2 linked regions of the Lonchura striata genome follow. The main gene of each other region encodes a partner of the protein of the gene in region 2 in a complex. Links are inferred from orthologs where the notes say so. Each region holds a gene or a part of one and is shown on either strand. Other genes may lie near its edges.

Region 1 (7,135 bases), on a different chromosome or scaffold from region 2:
ATTTGTCTTCCACCCTCTCATAATGAAATTACACCTTTAGAGAAAGGACTATATTTAGGATATTCTACCTGTATAAAAATCCATCATAAGAAGGCAAATGTAAATCCAGTTGACAGGACACCTGGTTACACATCTGAAGTTAAAAGCTCCATGACAGAGTAGTATATTTTGGAAGCAACCAAAAATCCCAAAGCAATGGAATGGTTAGGAGACAGATATATAGATAAAGACATATATATACATACATACATATACACACACACACACACACACACACATATATATATATATATATATATATATATATATATATATATCTCAAAGAACCCAAAAAACCCAAAATCATAAATTCAACTCATTAGTACATCTATGGATTGGAGGGCAAATTTGTGGGTGAGGGGTGAGTGGGTTGGCTCCTACCAAGATGCTGGAAACAATGGCCTATTTTTTCAGACATTCCAGAAAGAACTGACTACAGGACAACCGTAGAGACAAAATCACTGAGGAAGGTAGATGTCTGTCCTGATTTCAGATAGGATAAAATTCTTCTCAGCTGCTGGTAACAGTGCTTTGTGGCTGGTACAAAACAAATGTTTTGTGCATCACCTGGATCTCTCTTTCTTGTTCTCCTTTTTATATAAACATTTTATACTAATATATGTTAGCATACTTTATTTTTCATCAGTTATTAAACTGTTCTTATCACAACCCACAATGTACACATTTTTCCCCCTGAATTCTACACCCAACCAGTCTGTGGATGTGCTGTGCAAGTGGCTGCCTGGGGTTAAAACAAAACCCCATGTTTGTAAGAAAAAACAACCAAACATAAAACCCCCATAACCTTGAAAACACAGGTAGAAATTAAATAGACACTAAATCACATTTAAACTGGTCCACAGGTAAGATGGACAGGACATCTTTCACTATTAAAGTTATGGCACATCTATAGACACATATTTTTCAAAAAGTGAAACTGAGTACTTAAGAGTAACCACAGAAAAGTATTCACACCATTGATCAAAAAGCATTTCAGCTACACTAACCAAATGAGAACAGTTTCAAATCCCAAAACTAAGTATCAAAGAAAATAGTTATCTTCCAATAACAGTGGCAAACAAATGTTTCCATTCTAGAAGAACTACAAGACAAAGTTTCAATTTTGCAATCACAGATGAGATTAATTCAGATGACAGCTCATGAATTCTTATCTGCCTAGAATTAATTTGCATAGCACATCCATGAAACATTACTGACACGCTTATGAGTATTAAAAAAAAACAAATGAAACCAACAAACAACAGCAAAAAACCCTCAAACCAACTAAACCTCCCACAGAATTAGTGTTATGTGCAAGACAGACAGGTAAGTAGGCTGTTACTGTTTGACAACAAAAGAGTACAGGAAGTACACTAGCAAAACATGAACACCAAGAGTCATGTCTCTCACTCCTGCACTACTGTGTCCTGCTTTAAGTTCAGCCATCTGATCTTTGAGAAACTCCAGCAATCCTGAAAACTTATTCCCAAAATTTAAAGGCACACTAACATCAGACCGTGGAAAACATCACTGGCTCAGTTCCAGCTAGACTCCTCTTTTTAGCTAATGTTTAGTCGAAGTAAGTCAGCAAAGGGGTCAAAAGAGTAGCTTAAAAATGGAAAGTAGTTCCAAAGGAGAACAGTATTCAATGAACAGAAAGAGAGTAAAAGGGACAGGAGAGGTGAGACTTGGACATATGTTCCTTGGACATACAGCGTAAGAGGTTATGAAAGCATGTAATTCAAGAAGGTGGCAAACACTGTGTAACTAGTAAGGCCAAAATTAATCCATAATGCACAGCAATACAAACTGTTTAATAATCAGCACTGAAAACTTGTCTACGTAGCTCCAACACCCAGGGAAGCACTAAATACAGTGACAGGCCCCCTTGGTCAGTACTGCACCAGTGAAGCAAGTAAAAGCCGACTTGTGAAGGGCACCTTACTAAGTTAACGGGTACAGTCAAAACACGTACGAGACAGCTTCTGGAGCTGATTTATGTGTGTGCACCTCCAGGTAACGCCTCACAGCGCCTCTTCCAACGACAAACAACACCCCCAAAGCCGCCCCCCAAAGCCAGGCGCGGAGGCAGCCTCCTCCGGTCCCCCCCGCACTGGGTCTGCCCCGTGTGACAGCGGCGCCCCGGGGCCGGCACAGCCCCTTCTCGAATCCTCAGGGAGAGGGCTGGCCCGTCCACCCCCCATCCAGACCCACCTTGAGGAGGATGGAAGGCGGCAGCTGGTTGATGTCTAGGGTGGGCGGCGGCGGCAGCTCCCGGCAACTGTCGCCGGGGTGCTCCAGCGGCTCCTCGCAGCCCGCCTCGCCGCCCCGCTCCTTCTCCTCCTCCCGGCCCTGCTCCTTCTCGTCCTGCGCCGTGGGAGGCGGTGGCGAGGCGGGCTGTGCCCCGCCGCTCTGCCCGGCTGTGCCCCCGCCGCTCTCCCCCGCGGCGCCGGGCAGGGCGAGCAGCTGCGGCTCCGTCGGGCACTGGCAGGCGCCGGGCTCGGGCTCGGCGGCGGCGCAGCGCGGCTGCTTGCAGGGCGGGCAGGCGGGCAGCCCGGCCCCCTTGCGCTTGCACACCATCTCGGAGGAGACCTCGCCGGGCGGCCCCAGGAGGCCCCGCACCGGCGAGGGCAGCAGGCCGGAGAGGAAGAGGCGCTGGCAGCGGCCCGGAGGTTCCCAGGCGGCGGGCGCCAGGCGCAGGAGGCGGCGGGCCACGCGCTGCTCCGCGGCGCTCAGCGACACGTAGGGCGGCGGCGGCGGCAGCGGGTCCCCGGCGGGCAGCGGCTGCTCCGGGGCAGGCGGGCTGGCGCCGTGAACGATGAAGCAGAGCATGCAGGGCCCGCGCAGGAAGCAGCTCCGGCTGCGCGGCGGCGGCGGCGGCACCTTCCCCCGCGGGCGGCGGCGATCCCGGCTTAGGCTCCTTGCCTCCTTCGAGAGCAGGTGGCCCATATAGGAAGGGAAGCGGCGGCAGCGGAAGGGCGGGTGTCACCTGCGGGAGGCGGCGCCGGCAGCTGACATGCTGCCGGCAGGCCGGGGCAGGAGGCGGCGGCGGGGCTGGTTCCGGGACGCCGGGAGGGAGGGAGGGAGGGAGGGAGAAGCTTCCGCTACCGCCGGCCTGACCTCCCGCGGGAGCGGGGGCGGCGCTCCGCGGGCCGGCGCTGCCGCGGCGGCGGCCGCGCTGGGCCGCTGGAGGCCGGGCCGGGCCCGCCGTGTGACACGAGCGTACGTGCATTGCCACAGAACCGTCAGGGCTGGAAGGCACCCCTGGAGATCATCTCTACCCTCCTGCCGAGGCAGGGTCACCTGGAGCAGGTGACACAGGAGTGCATCCAGGTGGGTTTGGAGTGTGCTCAGAGAGAGAGACGGCACGGCTTACCTGTTCTAATGCTCTGTCACCCTCGACGTGGCGTTCTTGCTGAGGTGGAACTTACTCTGTTTTACTTTATGGCCACTGCCCCTTGTCACTGAAAAGTCTGGCACCGCCGTGTTAGCACCAGCCTTGAAGATATTTATACCCATTACTGAGAACCCCTTCCACTCCTCTCCAAACCAAATGGGCCCAGTTCCTGCAGTTTCCCCTTACAAGAGAGATGCTCCAGGCCCATCATCATCTTCGTGGACCCCCTCCATCATCTGTTGGACCCCCTCCCTTAGGTCATTGCCATATATATATATATATTTACACGTAAGACGTATAAAATACATGCATCTTTTTGAGGAACTGAAATAAAATTTTTTGTGCTACACTTTGTAGGCAAATTTCAGAAGACCCCTTCCCATTGGTCTCAGATTATGTGCAGGACAGTGGCTGAGTTTTTGCAGTGGCAAAGCAACACAAGCTTAGAGACCATCAAGAGCAGTTTTCCAAGCTCTCTTCTGTCAACATAATTTTCCCACCAGCACTTTCCAGAAAATAGTTGTTTTCTGCTGTAATTCATTGTACATCTGGAAACAAGGCTCATATGGGACCTCTGACCCCCTATGCCCTCCTGCAGACACTCACCTCTAACTGCAGTGTGTTGAACCTTGATGCAAGTGCCCTGGTGTGTAAATCCTTGCTGGATGCTGCATTAATTAAGACTCTGCTTAGTGCCTAGCAAAAGCAATTTGTTTCAGCATTCACTTCTAAACAGTTGACTTAGCTGTATAGTCTTAGATATGTAGTTTAAATATATGTGCAATTTTTTCTTTAGTAAAAGGTGTCTGGGGAAGGAGAAGGCAAGTTGCAGCTAGAGTATATATGGCTCAGTACTAATATCAAATAACAAAGGGCAGGAGAAGAAATGCACAGTATTTTATATTGCGTAGCACATGTTTTGGCTTTTTGCCCAGGGACAAGTTATGTTAGGATTAAAATACCCATGCTGCTATTATTTTTGTTTGTTACCTCTATAATTAGTCTTCAGCAGCACTTTAAAAATGTTTCCTATGAGAAAAGTACTAAATATACCTTTGGATAATAGCAGAACAATAGAATATTTTGTTTGGATTTATACTTCAATGGGCTTCATCAATATAAAGCACAGCAAATCTTTACCAAAAGAATTGGCAAGGCCTTTTCAGCTCTGTTGGGAGAATGGGTTGAAAAGCAGAAGGCAGCTGGAAGTAACTCTTGGTAAGACTGTGTGAACAGCAGACCAGTCATCCTCATATATGGACTGAGTTTAACAGTGCCTGCTCTGCACTTGTGTAGCCCAGGTGTTGCTTCAGGGCTCCTCCTGAAACATGATAAGTTAGCACGATAATGTACATAAATTCACTCTTTGTGCCTTAGCCATTGGTTTGTGCCTGTCCCAGCTACCTGCCTGGTGGCTCACACACTCCCTCCTCCCACAGACTGCAAAATTTTATTTCAGTAAGGAAAAACAAAAATAACATTAAAAGAAGATGAAAGTCCAAATCAAATCTTCAAACCAATCAGAACTCAGAATAAATGCTGGCTGTCTTCAACTTCTCCAATGTGTGTCCTTCCCACACACGTTGCAGTACTTCAAAAATTGCTCCAGAGTGGGTTCACAGTTCACGTCAGGAGCTGCTTCCATGGGTCCAGAGCTCGTTTCAGGAGCCTGCTCCAGATTGATGTTCTGATGGGATCATGTGTGCCTTTGGACATCCACCTGCCCGGACATGGATCCTACATGGGCTGCCAGTGGTTCTTTGCTCTGCAGTGGACTCTTCCACAGGTCACGGTCTCCTAGACTCAAGTTCACATTGGAGTTCCAGCCTGTCCAGTATGGCAGCACAGGAGCACAGGCTCCCTCCAGCCCAGGCATTTTGCAATGGCTGTCACCAAAGTGTCCCCAGGCACAACACACTGAGGTGGCTAGCAGTGCAGCCAGCAGCAAAATCAGAGCAGCCACTAACAAACACTGAGTTCCAACAGACAGGAAAGCGAGCCCCATGGGAAGCACAGCAGCCTGCCAATTAATAGCAAAACAGCAGTAACAGCTACAAATTCAATGTAGCACATTCAGTCAAATCTGCCGTTATTTCAACCCTTCATGCACTACACTGTCGCTATAGGGCACGAGAAAGCACAACACGAGCCACCACGATGGCAAGGCAAAAAAGAAGGTTTATTTTCCTGACTCCGACTTTTATACTTATTGTTTTCAAAAGGTGACAGTGGATTGGAGAGTGAATGGGCCACCTCTCCAAACACATTGGACAAACCACCAGTACATCAACTTCCTCCACCCCCACTAAGGAATGCAAAACAATATGTTGTTTATAGAAAATGTGTGGGAAAGTTTTCTAACAGAATGTAAACTCAGAAGGCTTTAGAAAATCTTAAGAATCAGGGTGACACAACACTGGGTGCCAAAACAACTGACATGGTATAACCTCAGCTATTCTTTTTTTCATCTTAATGACTTGTTTTTCTTGAGTTTTATTTCTTCTCTTTTTGTTTCATTTTCATTTTTGTCTTTTCCTTGCAATTCATTATTACTACTACTATTACTATTTCTAACTTATTAAACTGCTGATAATTACCTCAGCCCATGAATTTATTTCTTGGTTTTACACTTCCAGTTCTTTCCCTGTCCCACTAGGGTGGGGGAGTGAAAGGGACTAAGCAGCTGTGTTTTTCTTAGTTGCCAGCTAAGGTTAAACCACAACAAGCGTGTTTGTTGTAAGCATATTTGGTATGATTATTTTCCCTTCAAGCAGATTACACAGTTACAGAATCCATTAGTTTGGAAAAGATCTCTGAGATCATCAAATACAACTTTTTACCAAACACCACTATATCAACTAGACCACGGCACTAAGTGCCACATCCAGCTTTTCCTTAAACACCTCCAGGCATAGTGACTCCACCACTTCTCTGGACAGCTCATTCCAAGGTCTAATCACCTTTTCTGTGAAGGAATTCTTCTTAGTGTCCAATCTAAATCTTACCTGATGCAGCTTAAGACTATGTCCTCTTGTCCTGTAACTGGTTCCCTGGGAGAAGAGATCCCACCTGCTACAGCCTTGGGTCAAGGAGTTGCAGGGAATGATAAGGTACCCCCACCCCAGCTCTCCTTTTTTCCAGGTTAAATACACCCAGATCTTCATCTGCTTGTCATCAGACTTGTGCTCCAGACCCTTTGCCAGCTTTTTTCCCTTCTCTGGACATACTCCAGCCTCTCAATGTTGAATTGAGGGACCCAGAGCTGGATACAGCACTCACAGTGCTCACAGTGTGATCTCACCGGTGCCCAGCCCAGGGGGATGGTCACTGCCCTGCTCCTGCTGCCCCACTGTTGTTGATACAGCCCAGGTGTCCTTGGCCTTCTTGGCCACTTGGGCACAGCTGGTTCATATTCAGCTGCTGTCTACCAGGACCCCCCAGGTGCTGTATAAACACGGAGCTCTGCCCCAGCGTGCAGCAATGTGGGGGTTTTTGTGGTCTTGCTGAACCTCAGATCATTGGCCTCAACCCATCAGTCCAGCTTTCCAGATCCCTCTGCAGAGACTTCCTGCCTTGTAGCAGACCAACACACCCACCCAAACTGGTGTTGCCTGAATTTGCTAATGGTAGATTCAATTCCCTTATCCAGATCATCAGTGATGATATTAAACAGAACTGGGCCCAGCACTGACTCTGGGG
Region 2 (7,035 bases):
AGAACACGAAGATGCTCTGAGGGCTGGAGCCCCTCTGCTCTGGAGACAGGCTGGGAGAGCTGGGGGTGCTCATCCTGGAGAAGAGATGGCTCCAGGGAGACCTTAGAGACCCTGATAGTGCCCAAAGGGGCTCCAAGAGCTGGAGGGAAACTCTGGACAAGGGTCTGGACTGGCAGGACAAGGAGGAATGGTTTCAAATTTAAAGAAGGCAGGCTTAGCTATTAGAAAAAATCTGTTCTGTGAGGGTGGTGAGGCCCTGGCACAGGTTGCCCAGAGAAGCTGTGGCTGCCCCATCTCTGAAGTGCTCAAAGCCAGGTTGGACGGGACTTGGATCAACCTGTTCTAGTGGAAGCTGTCCCTGCCCGTGGCAGAGGGTTGGAAATGGATGATCTTTAAGGTCCCTTCCAATGCAGACCACTCCAGGATTCTGTGATTTGATGACCTTAAAAGCAGCATGAACAGGGCAAGCAACTGCCATATATTTACTTATCATAGTATTTGTCAATGGGCCAAGACTGGAATCCAAACACCTACAAACATTATGTTGACAGCTCAAATAAAGTCATTCACAAAGTATCTAAACACAATTTCTAACATTAATTAAATATTCTTTAAGACACAGGCTCTCATTTAAAGACATTTAGTTACTGATACCCTAGGCTACACCTCTTACACTCTCCAATGTATGTTTAATAATTAAACTCAATTTATTTGTATTTCAACAATGCTTCTACAGTTAATTTACCCTTCACAACACACTTTCCCCTTTTTAAAGCTTCAGTAGCTGATTGGTCAGTTGAGCCTTATTCTGACATTCTAACTCACTTTTATACCAAATACTACATTTTCCCTTCATACTTAACAAGAACAAAACTTCCTTCCATCCTTAAGAGTGACTTAACCAAAAAACACTGCATACTACTGGAAACAGAGTGACTTGTGATGCAGTCTTTGATTTGTTACAGCCAAATAAGCCTTTCCATCACTTTTAGTCCCCTCTCCAGACTGCTTACTTCTGAACTAGAGGTGTGGGCAGGGAAATCTGCAGGTGGATCGTCACACATTATCCCCACTGTGGTCACACTAGGCTGAATCTGCACGACTTAATGATTGGTTCAGCAGTTAATTTTGGCTCAGTCAATGTTTTGTTCCTACCCACACTTGCATCAACTAACACACCACCTCTGGTTCAACTAAGGACTACATATAAACAGGACTCACATTATGAATACCACAGTGTTGTCTCCTACTCCCCAGAACCTCCCCCATGAAACTTTCAGTGGTTGAATTCTACAGGACAATTAAAATCCCAGCATTCAGACTCAAACTGATCTGCCACTCTTCTTTGCCTCCACACCAGCATGCCCAGTGCAAAAAGAGAGGACTATGGTTAAAAGAAAACCCATTAAGTGTTTAAAGAAATACACTGATGATCAAACTTGGAAGGTGGGGATGATAATGACAAGGAGACTTGTTGAGCTGCGTTTCCCTGAACCATAGGGCAGAGTTATTTGGGACTTACAGAACTCATGTGCAAAGACCTGTCTATTCTACACCTAACAAGAGTGCCCACCTGATCCAAAGGATCAGGTAAAGGGTATGGGTTTTAACACTAGACCATTTCTACAATAAAAAAATTAATAGTGTTCGAAGTATCCTTTGCATAAGAATATTAGAACCGATTAAAAGCAATTAAACATTTAACACATTCAGATCTTCCATATTTTTACACATAAACTCAAAAGATACAGCTGATGGAAGCTAAAGCTGTACTTCAGCATTTTGGTTAAAATCAGGAGCGTGCTAGTGAAGCAAACTTCCCTAACACCCCATTTATCATGCTTTCATTCACATCACAAGATGAACCCAGACAACAATAGTAGGCTCTTTTTTTAAAGTAAATTGGAAAACACACTCTAGAAGTTCTCAAGAATGTCAAATACTAAGAGATTTAGAATCCTTCTGAAAAACACAGCGGGTATTCAGTTACCAGTGACAACTGTTTCTCCCTGCAAATCTTTCTGGTTTGGGCCTCACTGCTTGCTAAGGTACATACAAGGCTTACTCACTTGAGTTAGGGCATCCAAGAGTAATTATGCTATTTAAGTAATCTTTAAAGTTAAACTCGCATTACAAACCATATTTTGTGGTCTAATTCATACTCATCATGTTGACAGCAATATACTCCTTTCTTTTCTTGCTGTGAGGTGCAATATTTGAGATTAAAGAGCCAACTCTATATGCTAGAGCATTCAGAGTGCTGCATCACCTTAATTTACAGTGCTTCTGGATGGCAATTACTCCATTACTGCAGACAGGTGTATTTCAACACGGAGAAACTGCCTTCCTCAAGTGCCTCAAATTAACCTGTCAAAATTCACTCGACATACAGCTCCAGTGCTAGAACACTTTCTCCCTCCTTTTTTAGTTTAATAAAGATTTGGAAGACCGAGCTGCAGATGATTTTGGGATTACTGTCGGGCTAAAATAGATAACTGCTCTTTTGCGATTACCACCTTTCCACCGAGCCCCAAAACACGCGAAGGATCTCAGCGCACCGAGCAGGAGGGACAGGGTTTGTATTTCGTTGTTTACAGTCCAAAGCAGACCTTCGCCGGCTGCCCCCAAAGGGAAGCAAGCGCCGGCTGCACGCCTGAGCCCGGCAGCGCGGCCGAGCCCCCGGCGGGGCCGAGCCGGCCCTTTCGCAGAGCCGGGAGCGCGGCGGGGGCAGCCCTGCGAACCGGGGCACCGAGCCGGGAGGTCTCGGGGGAAGGGGCGACACCCTCAGCGAGCCGCCGCCGAGGGAAAGCCGCCGCTGCCGGAGCCTCCGCCACCGCCCCGCCCCGGGAGAAGGCCGCGCCGCCGGCCCCGGCCCCGCGGGCGCGCTGCGACCCCCGCCCCGCCGCCTCAGCGCCCCCGCCGCCAGCCCCTCGCGGCGCACGCTCCCGCCGGCGGCCGGCTCGGCGTTACCTCGGTGCCCGCCGCCGCGGGCCGGAGGGCAGCGGCAGCACCGCTGCCGCCTCAGCCGGTCCGGTCCCGTCCCGCCCGGGCCCCGCCGCTCCCGGCTCCGGCTGCGGCTGCGGCTGCGGCCCGACTGCGGCGCGCGCGTCAGGTGACCGCCCGCCCCCCCCCGGCGCGCGCACGCCCCGCGCACGCCCCGCGCGCCCATTGGACGCCGCGCTCGCCGCCGACGCGCGGCCGCCCACGCCGCCGCGCGCCGCCGCGCATGCGCGGCCCCGCCGGCGCGCGGGGCGGCTGCAGAGCGACGGGTCCTCGTCACTCTCCTCACACTCCTCACCCTCCTCACCCCTCCTTTCTCCTCCTCTCTCACCTCTCCTCACCTTCCCTCCTCTCCCTCCTCTTCCTCCTCTTCCTCCTCTTCCTTATCACACTCCTCACTCTCCTCTCCCTCCTCACCCCTTCTCTCCCTCCTCACCCTCCTCACCTTCCTCTCCCTTCTCTCCCTCTTCTCCCTCCTCACCCTCCTCACCTTCCTCTCCCTTCTCTCCCTCTTCTCCCTCCTCATCCTCCTCATCCTCCTCACCTTCCTCTCCCTTCTCTCCCTCCTCACCCTCCTCACCTTCCTCACTCTCCTCTTCCTCCTCACCCTCATCTTCCTCATCACACTCCTCACCCTCCTCACCCCTCCTCTCCCCTCCTCACTCTCTCCTCTCCCTCCTCACCTTCCTCACTCTCCCTCCTCACCCTCATCACCTTCCTCACCCTCATCACCTTCCTCATCCTCCTCTCCCTCCTCTCCTTCCTCACCTTTGTCACCTTCCTCACTCTCCTCTTCCTCCTCACCCCTCCTCACCCCTCCTCACCCTTCCTCTCCCTCCTCTCCCTCCTCACCTTCCTCTCCCTCCTCTCCCTCCTCTCCCTCCTCTCCCTCCTCTCCCTCCTCTTCCTCATCACACTCCTCACTCTCCTCTCCCTCCTCACCCCTTCTCTCCCTCCTCTTCCTCATCTTCCTCATCACACTCCTCACCCCTCCTCACCCCTGCTCTCCCCTCCTCTCTCTCTCTCCTCACTCTCTCCTCACTCTCCTCTTCCTCCTCTCCCTCCTCTCCCTCCTCACCCTTCTCTCCCTCCTCTCTCTCCTCACCTTCCTCACTCTCCCTCCTCACCCTCATCACCTTCCTCACCCTCATCACCTTCCTCATCCTCCTCTCCCTCCTTTCCCTCCTCTCCCTCGTCTCCCTCCCAAATCCACGTACCTCTTTATCCAAAGGCACCAGCCTCTTTCAGAAGCTCCTGCATAAAACACTAATGACAACCAATGAATGCACTGCCAAGACTGCTAATGGGAACTTAATTGTTAAGATATTTTAACCCAGTTTAATAATTTAGTGTGCCTTTGAATGATTTTTTTTAAATGACACACTGTTTTACGGGTATTTAAGTGTCCATAACTTTCTTCAGCTGTTTTTACAGTAGGCTTTCAGTTTTAGTACAGCCTAATATAGATTTTCCTTCAATGTCTATTTGCTAATGGCCTTCCACCTTGTTAAGAAGGCAGAATTTAATTACTTGTGTTTATGAGTTGGTCAACGTATTCACCAGAACAAAGACTTGCATCACAAAATAACTTAAGCAATTTGTTGGAATTTAAATTTAAGAGCAGCTGTTAGCTAATGATATCCAAAAAGTAGCATTTGTCTATAGTTTGGGTACTAACAATACTTGAGGTACTCTGAATCAAAGTTTCTATGCCTGCTTTTTATGTTTTCCATGACTTGTTGTCATGCTGTTAACATCTGTTGGGAATTCCTAATGCCCCAATAATCACACCTGAAGAGAGGAATAAAGACAACTGCTTAGATGGTAAAAACTGAGTTGCAGAAGTGTGAGATATTTACAATGTTTAAGCATAAAATTTAAAATGCCTACTACTAGACTGAAAGTTTTTGTTTTGTTTTTTTTTTTTTTTTTTTTTTTTTTTTTTTTTTTTTTGTCTTTCACAAGGAGTTTTATGGGGAAGAGAGGAAAACAGAAGAGGGAAGAAATGAATAAAAACAAAAGGAGCTCTTACTTTGGTTGAAAGATTGACTACAAAATCATGGACCGCACCCACCAAGAAGGGATCTTCATCTCCTGTTCTGGATCCTAGGGATGATGCAATTCTTGCTTCCCACACAATAGGGAGTGAAGTTACAGTGTAATAGCTTGGTTCTCACTCACAGTCAGACTGAAGAGCTGCAAAAGTACTTCCTGCGTTGAAATTAGACACAACTAGAAGAGGAAAAATACAAAAAACCAAAGTCCCATTTTTTTTTCCTAAAACGAAGAAGTAAAACCATTAAAAAGGAGATCTGGGAATCTAAGCTAAACATCAAGGACATACATCTTCCTGCAGATGAATAACAAATGCTTTAAGCATTTAAAACAATATAAAAGCTTAGGTGACAAATGCTCACAAGTTAGCGTGCATGATAACAAATAATAACAATATTACCAGAAGAAAGGAAGGGAAAATGTCTTTTTTTTTTTTTTCAATAGATTTTTTTTTTTCTGATACATTGGTGGCATTAATGGGACTTTAATTAGTCAGGCATCTCCATGGGGTAATTTTTCCCTTTCTGTGGCTGCTGTCTGAGACAGGTGTGGTGAAACTCCTTTTGGAGATGCCTGTCCCATGCTTTTGGGTGGAAATGTGTCTAACTGGGTCAGGCCACAGACATAGCTCCCAGATTAAACCTATGGCCACATAGTTCTGCAGGATGCTGCCATCAGAATCCTTCACAGCAAAAGTGCTGGGGAATCGTTAGGAAAAATTAATGTTCAAAGCCCATCTTCTAGTTTCACAGGGGCTGACAACCCTGTTGCACATGTGGCCACATTAAATATGACTTCTGTAGGCATCATATATAAAATTCGTCCATTTTACATTCCAATAAATGAAAGCCAAACCACTCCCTCCTGTGAACTTGCAAACACAAAAGCTGTTTTCTAATCTACATTTAGATAACATTTTCTAACTGTAAATTGAGCTATCAAGGAGCTACTGTGGTATGTGTCTAAGTGATTGAAACCTCAGGGCTGTGTCAATATGTATGAGGTGAAAAACTGACTCTTATTTTAAAATGGTTTTTGAAGCCTTTGAACACATTATTTTAGAATTTATTTCCATACCGTCTTCTGCTGTATGTGTGTAATACTGTTCTAATCCTTGGGAACACACATGCTTATTTTTTTGTGGTTTCTGGCTTACAAAAGTCTTTTGTTTGTCCTGGGAAAGCATGGTGTTAATCATAGGAAAATATTTTTACATTCCCTCTTTACAAAAAATGAGAAAAAAATGCTTTCTATCTAGAAGTAAATCCTGTTCTAGTAAACTATCTTTTAAAATGCAATTGTAATTTTAATTCTCTTAAACCTACTGCTAATATGGTCCAGACTCACATAAAATGAAAATTGGTGTCCCTTTTTTTTCCTCTCTAGATATAATTTTTAAAACCATCATCCTTAAATTAAGCAGTAATATTTCAATGGGAAAAAAAGGGGCTTCTTTTCTTTAATAGAATGAGAATTATTTTTGATTCTGCGAGAAGGGATATAAACCATGTGTAAACAATGGCAAAAAGGTGGGAAACAAAGGGGCTAGCTGTGGAAAATAAGAGTTCTGCTTAGATAGGCTGCACGAGCTGTATGAAAAGACCAAAGAATGAGAATTGCAGCAGGATAGCTAAAAAAGCCTCCTAAGAATACTTAAATGAGGAAAATTATTTATTAATGAAAAATAGATTTGCTTCCTGGAAGCTTGGAGTAAACACTGCCAGTGGCTGTAATTTTGTCAAACAGCAATGCCTGAGCTGATGGATCTGGGAGAAGACCAGAGGTGTTCAGGAGGTGAAATTACTGCAGCCAGGCTGTCCAGACCAGGAATTTTCACCCAGCAGCTCTCTTGAACCCTGTGAGGAAATGCAGGTACATGTGGGGAGCCCAAAATATGTCATGCAGGGCTTGATGAGCGTTTCCAGCCTCGAGTCCTGCTGTGGGATCACACCTGGGAGGGCTCTGGTTGAATTAAGTCCC

The links. Proteins that work in one complex are often made in the same cells at the same time.
Region 1: the proteins of BACH1 (region 2) and FBXL17 are in contact, whole or in part, in a cryo-EM structure (PDB 8UAH), measured with the Homo sapiens proteins. The link is inferred for Lonchura striata from reciprocal best matches to the Homo sapiens genes BACH1 and FBXL17. Residues at the interface, in NP_001177.1 of Homo sapiens: Val20, Leu21, Ser23, Leu24, Gln27, Val32, Leu33, Asp35, Phe39, His48, Arg49, Ser50, Val51, Ala53, Ala54, Cys55, Ser56, Ser57, His60, Ser61, Arg62, Val64, Asn72, Thr74, Pro76, His116, Asn117; in NP_001156787.2 of Homo sapiens: Asp395, Arg421, Asn447, Gln473, Gln498, Glu499, Met524, Arg548, Cys574, Leu575, Tyr598, Val600, Ser601, Asp623, Trp626, Met651, Arg652, Val676, Gln678, Asp679, Cys680, Arg682, Thr683, Glu685, Gln689, Trp692.

The regions. Positions count from the first base shown.
Region 1 is NC_134642.1:78,994,226-79,001,360, forward strand, and holds the start of FBXL17 (F-box/LRR-repeat protein 17), read right to left. Parts: upstream 3,004-7,135; 5' UTR 2,989-3,003; coding exon 2,254-2,988; intron 1-2,253. UniProt on the Homo sapiens protein: Substrate-recognition component of the SCF(FBXL17) E3 ubiquitin ligase complex, a key component of a quality control pathway required to ensure functional dimerization of BTB domain-containing proteins (dimerization quality control, DQC).
Region 2 is NC_134604.1:4,185,565-4,192,599, reverse strand, and holds the start of BACH1 (transcription regulator protein BACH1), read right to left. Parts: upstream 3,079-7,035; 5' UTR 2,971-3,078; intron 1-2,970. UniProt on the Homo sapiens protein: Transcriptional regulator that acts as a repressor or activator, depending on the context. Binds to NF-E2 DNA binding sites. Plays important roles in coordinating transcription activation and repression by MAFK.